Sus scrofa: one gene and its partners. The protein of the gene in region 3 binds, or shares a complex with, the protein of the main gene of each other region. Links are inferred from orthologs where the notes say so. Each region holds a gene or a part of one and is shown on either strand. Other genes may lie near its edges. The genes, in order: ERCC2, POLR2G and GTF2F2.

The links.
Region 1: GTF2F2 (region 3) and ERCC2 share a complex: the UniProt entries of both Homo sapiens proteins name them as parts of the TBP-based Pol II pre-initiation complex. The link is inferred for Sus scrofa from reciprocal best matches to the Homo sapiens genes GTF2F2 and ERCC2.
Region 2: GTF2F2 (region 3) and POLR2G share a complex: the UniProt entries of both Homo sapiens proteins name them as parts of the TBP-based Pol II pre-initiation complex. The link is inferred for Sus scrofa from reciprocal best matches to the Homo sapiens genes GTF2F2 and POLR2G.

The regions. Positions count from the first base shown.
Region 1 is NC_010448.4:51,740,501-51,744,145, reverse strand, and holds part of ERCC2 (TFIIH basal transcription factor complex helicase XPD subunit), read left to right. Parts: intron 1-765; coding exon 766-884; intron 885-2,951; coding exon 2,952-3,021; intron 3,022-3,110; coding exon 3,111-3,180; intron 3,181-3,266; coding exon 3,267-3,368; intron 3,369-3,645. UniProt on the Homo sapiens protein: ATP-dependent 5'-3' DNA helicase. Component of the general transcription and DNA repair factor IIH (TFIIH) core complex, not absolutely essential for minimal transcription in vitro.
Region 2 is NC_010444.4:9,005,710-9,009,979, reverse strand, and holds the start of POLR2G (DNA-directed RNA polymerase II subunit RPB7), read left to right. Parts: upstream 1-1,348; 5' UTR 1,349-1,488; coding exon 1,489-1,500; intron 1,501-1,611; coding exon 1,612-1,721; intron 1,722-3,081; coding exon 3,082-3,241; intron 3,242-3,899; coding exon 3,900-3,950; intron 3,951-4,270. UniProt on the Homo sapiens protein: Core component of RNA polymerase II (Pol II), a DNA-dependent RNA polymerase which synthesizes mRNA precursors and many functional non-coding RNAs using the four ribonucleoside triphosphates as substrates.
Region 3 is NC_010453.5:22,113,799-22,117,443, forward strand, and holds part of GTF2F2 (general transcription factor IIF subunit 2), read right to left. Parts: intron 2,935-3,645; coding exon 2,790-2,934; intron 1-2,789. UniProt on the Homo sapiens protein: TFIIF is a general transcription initiation factor that binds to RNA polymerase II and helps to recruit it to the initiation complex in collaboration with TFIIB.

The DNA of each region.
Region 1 (3,645 bases), on a different chromosome or scaffold from region 3:
GGGACACGGTGGGGACTGAGACAGCCCTGGCCCTGCCTTCCTGGGGTTCACAGTCCAGTGAGAGAGGGACGTGCCAGGGCTGGGATGGGGGGAGGCCTGGGGGCCCAGGGAACATAGAGGGGCACCTGGTCGACCGTGGAGGAAAGGAAAGGAGGTTCAGGAAGCGGGTTTTAAACCTGACTGTCTGCCTGACACCAAAGCCGTGCTGCTGCTCCACAGCCTCTCCCTGAAGGGTGAGAGCCTTGAGTGGCCCTGTGTTGTGTACGGGCTGTTGCTGGACACAGTGTGTGCGAAGCTCCGGGAGTGTGTGTGAGATTGTCTCCCGAGTGTGTGGGACTCTCACGCTGTGTCGCTGAGGGTGGCGAGCGTGGCTGAGACACTGAGAGAGGACCTGGGAGGGAGCAAATGGTGATGTGGCCGTGTGGGGTTCGTGCAGTGACTGTGGGATTCTGGGCGTGCTTGTGGGTTGCCCCTTCTGACCAAGAACCTGCTCATGAGCATGTGGCCCCCTGTGACGTGACCCTGTGACTCTGAGCTGTGTGATTATTGCTCCGAATGTGCCCTCGTATGGCCGTGGCCCTGTGGGATGTGGGGGACACAGAGGGGACTGAAGCAGACCCAGGCCCCGCCCTCATGGAACTTCGGGCAGCTGGGGAGATGGCACCTGGGCCCGTGCTCTGCTGGAGGGGAGGGGGCTGCTGGATGTGCCTGAGCTGGTCACTGTCGCCCCTCACCCCATCCTCCACCCCCCCACCCCCCCTCCAGATTCTGCGCCGAGCGCCTGCGCTCCCTGCTGCACACCTTGGAGATCGCGGACCTTGCTGACTTCTCCCCTCTCACGCTCCTCGCCAACTTTGCCACCCTAGTCAGCACCTATGCCAAGGGTAAGCGCCCCTTCCTGCCTCTGCCGGCCCCGGCAGCTGGAATCGGGATCTCCGTGGGGTTGCCCGTGGGACTTGGACGAGCAGGACCTTGTAGGGCTGGGCTCCGGAGTTTGCGCTTTATTTTGAGGGCAATAGGGAGCTACAGACAGTTCTTGAGTGAGCGAGCCTTGTGCTCAGATTTGTGTTTTTCAAGCTCCTCTCTGGCTGCAGGGTGAAGAAGGGTGGGGCGGGTGGTGGCGTGACATGAGGCCAGAGAAGTTCTGTGGGGTCAGCTGGCCCTGGGGGGCATGGTAAGGAGCTGGTCCGTCTGCTCCCAAGGGCATTGAGGAGCCACAGCAGGTGCCATGCAGGGGAGAGGCAGGGTCACTTGGTGCTTTGGAATGATTCCTCTGGCAGAGCTGGGCCAGGGCGGGAGGAGAGAAGATGCGGGGCTGGAGAGAGACCTGGGAGGTAAAGAGGCCGGGAGGCTGGTGCTCAGGTTGCCAGCTTGCAGAGAGCAGGGCAGCGTCGCAGAGGCTTCGTCGCTCAGCATTGCCTCGCCTTCCTCAGCTTTAAGCTGGCCAGGGGCTCAGCCTAATCCCCGGGGATTACTCCTGTGTCCAGGAAACTAGGTCAGGCCTGCCAGCGCCCTGCGGCCAGCCGGTCTGGGCAGGGCCTTGGCGGGGGGTGACGGCCGTCCCCCTATCCCAAGGTCGATCAGCGGCAAGTCCCCTGGAAGCCGCCTGCTGCGTCCATCCCTCCATTCACCCTGTCTTCCCTTGGGCTGTCTCGCTCCTCCCTCCCCCCTGGCAGTCTCTTCCCTGGAACAGCCTCCCCGTCTTCTTCCTCTGCCCCCACTGCCGCCACCTCACCCGTCAGTTCCTGGCTCAGGAGAGAAGCCCCCTCCTCCCCCAGGAAGCCCCTTCTGGCCCCCAGGCTGGATCAGGCCCTCTCCTCTAGGCTGCCCTGTCCCAGCCCTCCCCACCCAGAGAGGTCACTCTACGGGACAGGTCAGTGTCCCCATCACTGGACTGTGAGCCCTGAGAGGGCAGGACCAGGGCTGTTTCAGTCCTGCTGCATCTCCAGCATAGGCTTAGGTGCAAAAGACTTGATTTTGGGTTGTTTTAATTTTTACTAAGTGAAGGTGTGTGGATTCATTCATTCATGTATTTGTTCAACAAGTGGGCCAGGCCGGCACTGGGGCCAAGTGGCAGGAATCCAGAAAGACCTCATTCCTGACTCCCAGAACTTATATTCTAGCGAGAAGACAGGTAGCAGAGATGCAAACACAAGTCAGGAATTAATTCCAGGAAGTGGTTGTTTTCATGAGAAACAAACATGTCTCCATGGTGGAGCAATGCCTGCAGTGGCCGGGGTGGCTTTTCTGAGAAGCTGACATTGGAGCTGAGTTGCAAATGACCGCATGGAGCCAGCTTGGGAAGCTTTCCGGGCAGGGGGACCAGTGCAGAGACCCCGGGGTGGAATGAGCTTGGTGATTTGAGCAGTTAGGCTGGAGGCCCAGGAGAATGGAGGAAATGGGGTTGGTGTGGAAGGACCCCACAGACAGTTCCGGACCCTGGGAGGGGTTTGGGGGGCTGTGGGGGGCTTCTGAGCAGGGGAGAGATGTGACCTGATTCAGGATTTCCAGGGTCCCCCTGGCCGCTGGGAGTGGAGAGGCCAGCGCAGTGGTCCAGGCAGAAGGGGATGATGGCCGGACTGGGCAGGGGCTGGGGGAAGGGGTCAGAGGGCAGACTTTGGAGGTAGAGCTGGCCGGCTTCCTGATGGCTTAGAGAGGTGGTGGGAGAAAGCTCGAGGCTTTGGCTCGAGTGGCGGAGAGGGGAGAGTGAGGGTGAGCCTTTGTGCTCCCGGCCTAGGGTCCCCTGGGCGTGTTTGCACAGGTGTCGGCCTTGGGGAGAAGCGGGCAGGTTGGGGTGTATTTTGGACTCAGGTGCGTGGGTTTGGGGTTTGGGCTGTTGGTAGCTGGTCCCATTCACCGAGGAAGGTGGGCAGGGGGGACTGGGGTGGAGGGAGACATTGGGGGTGGGGGGGTGGCCGAGTGGGCATGGTCATGACTGGTGCCCCCTGTAGGTTTCACCATCATCATCGAGCCCTTTGACGACAGGACCCCAACCATCGCCAACCCCGTCCTGCACTTCAGGTGAGACCTGACCCCAGAGAGGGTATGAATGGACCACAGCGGCCCCCGCTCCTCAGCCTGGCCCCATCACCCTTGTCTGCTCCTCACAGCTGCATGGACGCCTCGCTGGCCATCAAACCCGTGTTTGAGCGCTTCCAGTCTGTCATCATCACATCTGGGGTGAGGCCCTGGCCCTCCACCTGGGGTGGGGGTACCCTGGTTCCTGCCCAGTCCTGCTAAGATCCCTCCTGCTGTCCCTGCTACAGACGCTGTCCCCACTAGACATCTACCCCAAGATCCTGGACTTCCACCCCGTCACCATGGCAACTTTTACCATGACGTTGGCCCGGGTCTGCCTCTGCCCCATGGTGCGTGGGGAGGGTGAGGAGATGAGGGAGGGAGACGGGAGCGAGGGCAGGAGAGCTTGACAGCTAAGGGCATGGATTCTGGATTCAGCCAGACCTGGGCTTGACTGTGACTCCCCAAGCCTCAGTTTTCTTATCTGTGAAATGGGAATGTCCCCTCCCTGCCCTCCTAAGGGGGTTGGGTAGGGGGGGTTAGTGAAATAGTGGGTGTGAAAGGCTCTTATGGCCTAGGCCCTGCTACTTGGTTAATGTGGCTTTGCCCTTGCTGTGACGCTGGTAA
Region 2 (4,270 bases), on a different chromosome or scaffold from region 3:
GGGTTGAATCGGAGCTGTAGCCACAGGCCTACGCCAGAGCCACAGCAATGCGGGATCCGAGATCCGAGCCGCGTCTGCAACCTACACCACAGCTCACGGCAACGCCGGATCGTTAACCCACTGAGCAAGGGCAGGGACCGAACCCGCAACCTCATGGTTCCTAGTCGGATTCGTTAACCACTGCGCCACGACGGGAACTCCTGAACTTTTTTTTTTTTTAAGGGCTGCACCTGCAGCATATGGATGTCCCCAGGCCAGGGTCCAACTGAAGCTGTAGCTGTCGGCCTACACCACAGCCACAGCAACAACAGATCTGAGCGGCGTCTACAAGCTACACCACAGCTCACAGTAACGCCGGATCCTTACCCACTGATTGAGGACAGGGATCTAACCAGAGTCCTCATGGATACCAGTCAGATTTGTTACCACTGAGCCACGATGGAAACTCTCTATTATGATCAATTTTAAACATACAAAAGTAGAAGGAAACATATAAAAAGCCACAGTTTATCCATCATCTGGCTTCAACAATCATTAATACATCGCCTGGAGTTCCCCTCCTGGCTCAGCAGAAACGCATCTAAGCATCCATGAGGACTCAGGTTTGATCCCTGGTCTCGCTCAATGTGTTAAGAATCCGCATTGCCCTGAGCTGTGGTGTAGCTAGCAGAGGGGGCTCGGATGTGGGATTGCTGTGGCTGTGGCACACGCAGTTCCATGGCTACAGCTCTGATTCGACCTCTGGCCTGGAAACCTTCATATGCCACGGGTGCAGGCCTAAAAAGACCAAAAAAAAAAAAAAAAAAAAAAAAAAGTCATTGCCAAACTTGTTTCATCTGCACCGCTGCCTTTTTTTTTTTTTCAAATATTCATTTAATTTTAAGACAATTACATTTTAATAATGGCTGTGTTTAAGAATTAGCTTGCAAAATTCCTGAAATAGTAACAGTTGGCTTTTGCAGGGGCTCCAGCACACCACTGTCAGCAGGTAAGTTTGCTCTTGCAGGGAGGCTGGCTTCAAAAAGAGGGAAGGAGAGGGGTCAGGGCTGCTGTGGTCCTGGCCTCCGTTCTCTCCAGATAAGAACAGATAGTTATTATGCTTACTCTGTGAAAGCAGTCTTCAACTGTTTGCTGAATGAATATATTCTGCTAAAGCGCTTTATTTATGACGTCTCTCATTAATTAAATCCACCGTTTGAACTTCTTGTCTAGACCTGGCCTTGCTAATTTGTGAGCGTCCTGTGCTTTTACAGAGGGTGGACTGGACGAAGGGGGAGGAGCTTCGTGGATTTCCCCGCCCACGAAAACGGGGCCCAATCAAGTCCGCAGACGAGACGTGTTCCCGCCCACCTCTCTGGGGCAGGCCCGGAAGCGGGATTGGGGAGGTTGGTGTACTTCCGGTCCTGCCGGGGGTTTTGCTGCTGCTGCTGTCGCTGTTTTAAGCCTGGCTGCTCTCGGCCTGGCTGCTGTCCAGCCTCCTCCGGGAAGATGTTCTACCATGTGAGCAGGGCCCGGGGTGGCGGCAAGGGTAGGGTCGAGAGGAGGAGCGAAGCGGAAGGCCGGGAGTAGGGGGCCGCTTCTTGCCTGGTCTCCATCCCACGTTCTCCGCAGATCTCCCTGGAGCACGAGATCCTGCTGCATCCGCGCTACTTCGGCCCCAACCTTCTTAACACCGTGAAACAAAAGCTCTTCACTGAAGTGGAGGGGACCTGCACCGGCAAGTGAGTGTCCCGCTCTCCGTGCTGCCTGAGCAGTGCGCCCTCGGCGCCCGGTGCCTTCATCCCCTCCTCAAGTCCTGAAAGTTTGTGCTGTCTACCCTGGAGAGCCCTCTCACCCACCCAGACGGCCCAGGCAGTCATTTGCTTCCTGCTTCGGGTTCCCATGATGCCCTCTGCGAAGCTGGATAACGGGACTAACTTCCCTCAGCCAAGATTGGTCATTCATTTACTTTACAAACATTTCCAAATCTCCAGCTGTGTGCCAGGCTCTGTGTTGGGCCCTGGGAATAATGCAGTGAGAAAGACAGAAGCGGCCAGCTCGAGCTCATAGTCTCTTTGGATTTTGCTGGTTTTCTTTATCCCCCACGCCCAGGGACCTGTCATGGCACATTGGGCTTCACTAAAAGTGTGTTGAATGAGGGAGTGACCAGGATAAAGCAGATTGAGAGTTAGGGGGAGGAAGGAAGAGCACTGACGTTTGACCGTCTCTTTGCTCTGCACAGAGGGACCTCTCATCTGGTGATGTAGACAAACCAGGATGAGCAGGGCCATGGAGTACTTGGGGCTCCAGCATCAGAGCAACTGGGGGTGTCTTTTGAACATACAGGTTCCTGAGCCTCATGTCATCCTTACAGCATCCCCATATCTCTGGGGACAGGCCTGGGGATATGCATTTCATATATATATATGTATGTTTTTTTTTTTTTTTTTTCTTCTTTTGCTGCACCCTTGGCATGTGGAAGTACCTGGGCTCAGTAGGTTAAGTATCTGGCATTGTCATTGTTGTGGCGTGGGTTCTATGCTTGGCCTGGGAATTTCTGAATGCCACAGGCCAAATAAATTTTAAAAAGAGATTGAGGTCTCTTGGCTCAAGGACTGCAGCCCTTTTGGACACTTATTGTGAACTTATGAGATCAGCATTTGGCTTTGTAGATGCTGGTCATTGCCCTGTCTTCTCTCTTGATCATTAAGTTCTCTGGGACCAGGAGTGCCATCTACTTGCCCTTTGTGATGCCCTTTAACCCCCAGGCTCGGTGACTCTTGTGGCAGATTTTTTTTTGTCTTTTTTTGGGGGGCTGCACCTGTGTCATAGGAGGTTCGCAGGCTGGGGAGGAATCGGCACTGTAGCGGCTGGCCTATGTCACAGCCACAGCAGCGCCGGATTTGAGCCACATCTGCAACCTACACCACAGCTCACAGCAATGCCGGCGTCCTGAACCCACTGAGTGAGGCCAGGGATTGAACCTGTGTCCTCATGGATACCAGTTAGATTCGTTTCTGCTGAGCCACAACCAGAACTCCTCTTGTGGCAGATGGTTTTAGAGGCTCTTCCACACCTTTCTCTTTCTCATCCTCCCTGCAGGTATGGCTTTGTAATTGCTGTCACCACCATTGACAATATCGGTGCTGGTGTGATCCAGCCAGGCCGAGGCTTTGTCCTTTATCCAGTTAAGTACAAGGCCATCGTTTTCCGGCCCTTTAAAGGGGAGGTCGTGGATGCTGTTGTCACTCAAGTCAACAAGGTAAGTCCATCCACAGGGCAGGTAATGGGAAGTCCTGAGAAAATCTGGGATGGGCCCCAACTCTTACTTGCTAACTCTGTGTCTTTGGCCAAATCACCTCTTTGTGCTTCAGGTGTCCTTACCTGCCAGATGGCATGGGAATCTTGTCCTGCCTCACTCAGGCAGGTGTAAAATGTAAGTCAACATTAAGAGTCAAAAGAGCAGTAGCTTCCATTGATTGAATAGATCCTGTGCACCAGGTGAAGTGCAAAGCCTCACAATGACTGTGAGGCGAGTGCTTTTACCTCCGGACTGAAGCTTGGAGAAGACTGCTGGCCAAGGTCATGTGGCCGACAAGTGTTCAGATTCCAGACAGACAGGTTCGAGGCCTCAGGTGTTGACTACTACACTCTGTTAACATAAAGTGAAAGTTTGAAAAAGGAGAGATGGGGGAAAAAATATAATTGTAATGTATACATGTAAGGATAACCTGACCCCCTTGCTGTACAGTGGGAAAATAAAAAAAAAAAAAAGAAAAAGGAGAGAAAAATGAAAACAAATGCCAAATTTCAGAGTGGTTTCAAAACATGAAGACTATTATTAGGATGCAGATAAAGACGGGATGCTCAGCAGACAATGGGGACAAAAGAAAAAACTAGGTCATTCATTTCCCTTTTAGGTCGGACTCTTCACAGAAATTGGGCCCATGTCCTGCTTCATCTCTCGACATGTAAGTCCAGGCGGGCTAGGTGGGGCTAAGGAGGAGACATTCATTCCTGACCGTCTCTTTCTTTTTTGGGCTGCACCTGGAGCACGTGGAAGTTTCCAGGTCAAGGATTGAATTGGAGCCACAGCTGTGGCAATGCTGGACCCTTAATCCATTGTGCTGGGCTGGGGATTGAACCTGCATCCCAGCAGAGACTTGAGCTGCTGCAGAGATAATCCTGGATCCTTAACCCACTGCACCACAGTGGGAACTCCCCGTGACCATCTCTTGAAGCGTCCTTTTAATGTGCTGACCCAGGAGTTCCCTCATGGCACACAGGGTTA
Region 3 (3,645 bases):
ATTTAAAATCTACATCCAAGGGGAAAAAAAAGATTTTTTTTTCTTTTTTTTGGTCTTTTGAGGGCCGCACCAGTGGCATATGGAAGTTCCCAGGCCAGGAGTCACATCAGAGCCACAGCTGTGACCTACCCCACAGCTGTTGCAATACTGGATGCTTAACCCACTGCACTGGACTGGGGATCAAACCTGTGCCTTAGCAGCCACTACAGAGACAACACCAGACCTTGATCTCCTGCACCGGAGCAGGAACTCCGAGACGACTATTTTCTGACATCAGTTTACGCATCTGTTGGCATTCCAAGACACCAAAAAAAAAAAAAAAATTATCTGAGTATAGCAGACCCTTGAACAACATGGCTTTGAACTGTGTGGGTCCACTTATGTGTGGATTTTTTTAAATAGCAAATCCTACAGTACTACACAAGCTGCAGTTGTTGAATCCGAGCACACAGAACCTCGGATATAGAGGAATCTCAGATGAGGAGAGCAAGACTGTAATTTATATGTGCATTTTCAATTGTGTGAGGGTTGGTGCCCTTAATCTTCGAATTTTAATCCTCACAACAATAATGCCCTTAACATATTTCTTATGGTTTTCTTTGTAATGTTTAATGAAAATACAGCAAAACCACGGATCTTTTTCTTTACACAACCAATCAACTTTCTTTTTTTTTAATTTTTATTTTTTTACAGCCACACCTGCTGGAGAAGTTCCCAGGCTAGGGGTCGAATTGGAGCTGCAGCTGCCGGCCCACACCACAGCCTCGGCAACACCGGATCTGACCGGCATCTGTGACCTACACTGCAGTTTTCCACAATGCCAGACCCTTAACCCACTGAGTGAGGCCAGGGACCTAACCCACATTCTCACAGACACTAAGTCAGGGTCTTAACCTGCTGAGCCACAACAGAAACTCTGAATCAATATACTTTCTAAATTAAGTATGAGAAATTAGTTCTGAACCATAATTTGAAAAGACACATGCACCCCAATGTTCACTGCAGCCCTATTTACAACAGCCAGGACATGGAAGCAACCTAAGTGTCTATGAGCAGGGATGGGTAAAGAAGATGTGAGATACATATATATATATTTGATTATTAGCCATAAAAAAGAATACTGCCGTTTGTAGCACCATGGATGAACCTAGAGATGATCATTCTAAGTGAAGTAAGCCAGACAAAGACAAATACCATACAAAATCATTTATATATGGAATCCAATAAAAAATGATGCAAAAGAACTTATTCACAAAACAGACTCACAGATTTCAAAATCAACCTTACGGTTACCAAAGGGAAAACGTAGGGGGGCAGAGATAAATGAGGAGGTTGGCATTAACATATACAAACTACTACATATAAAATAGATAACTAACAAGAATCTCCTTCACAGCACAGAGAAATCTAATCAATATTCAGTAATAACCTACCTGGGAAAAGAATCTGAAAAAGAATGGATATATATATATATGTTTGACTGATTCACTTTGCTGTACACATGAAATACAACATTTTAAGTCAACTATACTCCAACAGAATTAAAAAAAGAAATTAATTTTGTTAAAATGAGGTGACCTGGCCTAAAAAGACAAAAAGGGGGGGAGGGTGGCCTGCTGCTTTCATAGTCATATTCTAAATTTAGTCAAGGTTATACTCTTGCAAAGGCCTCAAAAAAGTTCCCTCTGTATTTAATTCACAAACTGAAACATGTGCTCCCTATTCATTGAGCTGTTAAAGTATTTGAGAGCAAACACACAAAATTAAACAAAACACTTTACCCAGAGCTTCTTGGAAATCGATACCAATTAAAAGAAGTTAATCGCTATGCATTACAAACTACAGAAAGCACCCAAGAGCCAAAATCCAGACTAAAATATTCCCCAATATAAAGCAGTTTTGCGTTTGTTTTTTGGCCGGGGGAGGGGGGGGGGTGCCTGCACCTGCAGCATATAGAGGTTCCCAGGCCAGGGGTCAAATCAGAGTTGTAGCTGCTGGCCTATGCCACAGCCACAGCCACACCAGATCCAAACCGAGTCTGTGACCTATACCACAACTCATGGCAATGCCTGATTCTTAACCCACTGAGCAAGGCCAGGGATCGAACCTGTGTCCTCATGGATGCTAGTCAGATTTGTTTCCACTTAGCCACGATGGGAACTCCTATTTTGCCTTTTTTTAAAGGGCCGCACCTGCAGCATATTGAAGTTTCCAGGCTATGGGTCGAATCAGAATTGCAGCTGCCTACCCCAGCCACAGCAACAGCCCAATCCAAGCCGCGTCTGTGACCAACACTGCAGCTCGTGGCAATGCCAGATCCTCAACCCACTGAGAAAGGCCAGGGATTGAACCCACATCTTCACAGATATCAGTTGGATTTATTTCCACTGAGCCACAATGGGAACTCCATGAAGCAGTATTTTTTTAAAACACAACTTACAGTTGCTAAATATCAATTTACCAAAACAGGCACAGATGACCTTATCTTGGCAAAACTCAGAATACTGTTTCTTCAACATCCCAGAAGACAGCTTGATGCACTACACTCTTCCATCTGCTTTGTTCTATTTCTTCATGTCCCACACAGAAATTAAACCCTTTGTGTAACAGCCAAAATTCTATCAACCACAGGAAGGTATACTTAGAGCAGAGAAATACTACGATATGAATGAGAGGTAAACAGAATGATAGGTGGGACAGCCCTGGTAATGGCCTTAGAGTGTATGCTGAGCCAGGAAGTCTACACAACACATACAGGAATTGCATTAAATAATTCTATCCCTACTTACCTGATGAGCTCTCAGTAAACACTGTTAATGTCTGTCCTCCAACACTTTGCAAGACAAATGGATGTTCTCTAGGAGCACTGACTGAAGCTGGTTTGCCGCCAATATCATGAATATTTGCAAGTTCCTCATTCAAAGTAAATGACACCTAACAGACACATTAACCAGAGATTATTACAATAGACTTTTGTACTCAAAGTATCTGTACAGAAGTTCTGATTATAAATCAAATACTTTTTAAAATGTGAATCTTTTCCAGTCACTTTACGAAGCATTTAAAAGAAAATTTTCAAAAAATCTTTAATAATTACCCATAAAAAAAGAACCTATTCCCATTTGTCAGAATGATGGGGCTAGTCTACCATTATAAAGACAATTTTCAAATATTTTCTCTGGTCTATGGATGAAAAAATTCCATTTATAAAATAGAACAACTTTTTTTCCAACCATGTCTGAGGTCAGGGAGCCATGTCTTGCTATGTTTATACCCTTAAATAAATTAGATAAATATTAGATGGATGGGTAGACAGATTGATAGATCGATCCATCCATCCATCCATTCATCCCCTAGCAAACTGCACAACACATAGAAGGAAAATAGTATCTGCTGAATGAGTGAACATTTTAAGAGTATTAAGAAAGCGACTGTACTTGAAGCAGGGGGAAGGGAGCTATTTACTCAGAAAGCTTAAACACTCCCATAAGCAGAGGATGCCTTTCTTTTTTAGGTTCAAAAACTACTGTATGAGTACATGGTGCCATTTTTTGGTTTTGGTTTTTTTGTTTTTTGGGGTTTTTTTTTTTGTCTTTTTTTGTCTTTTTAGGGCTGTACCTGCAGCATATGGAAGTTCCCAGGCTA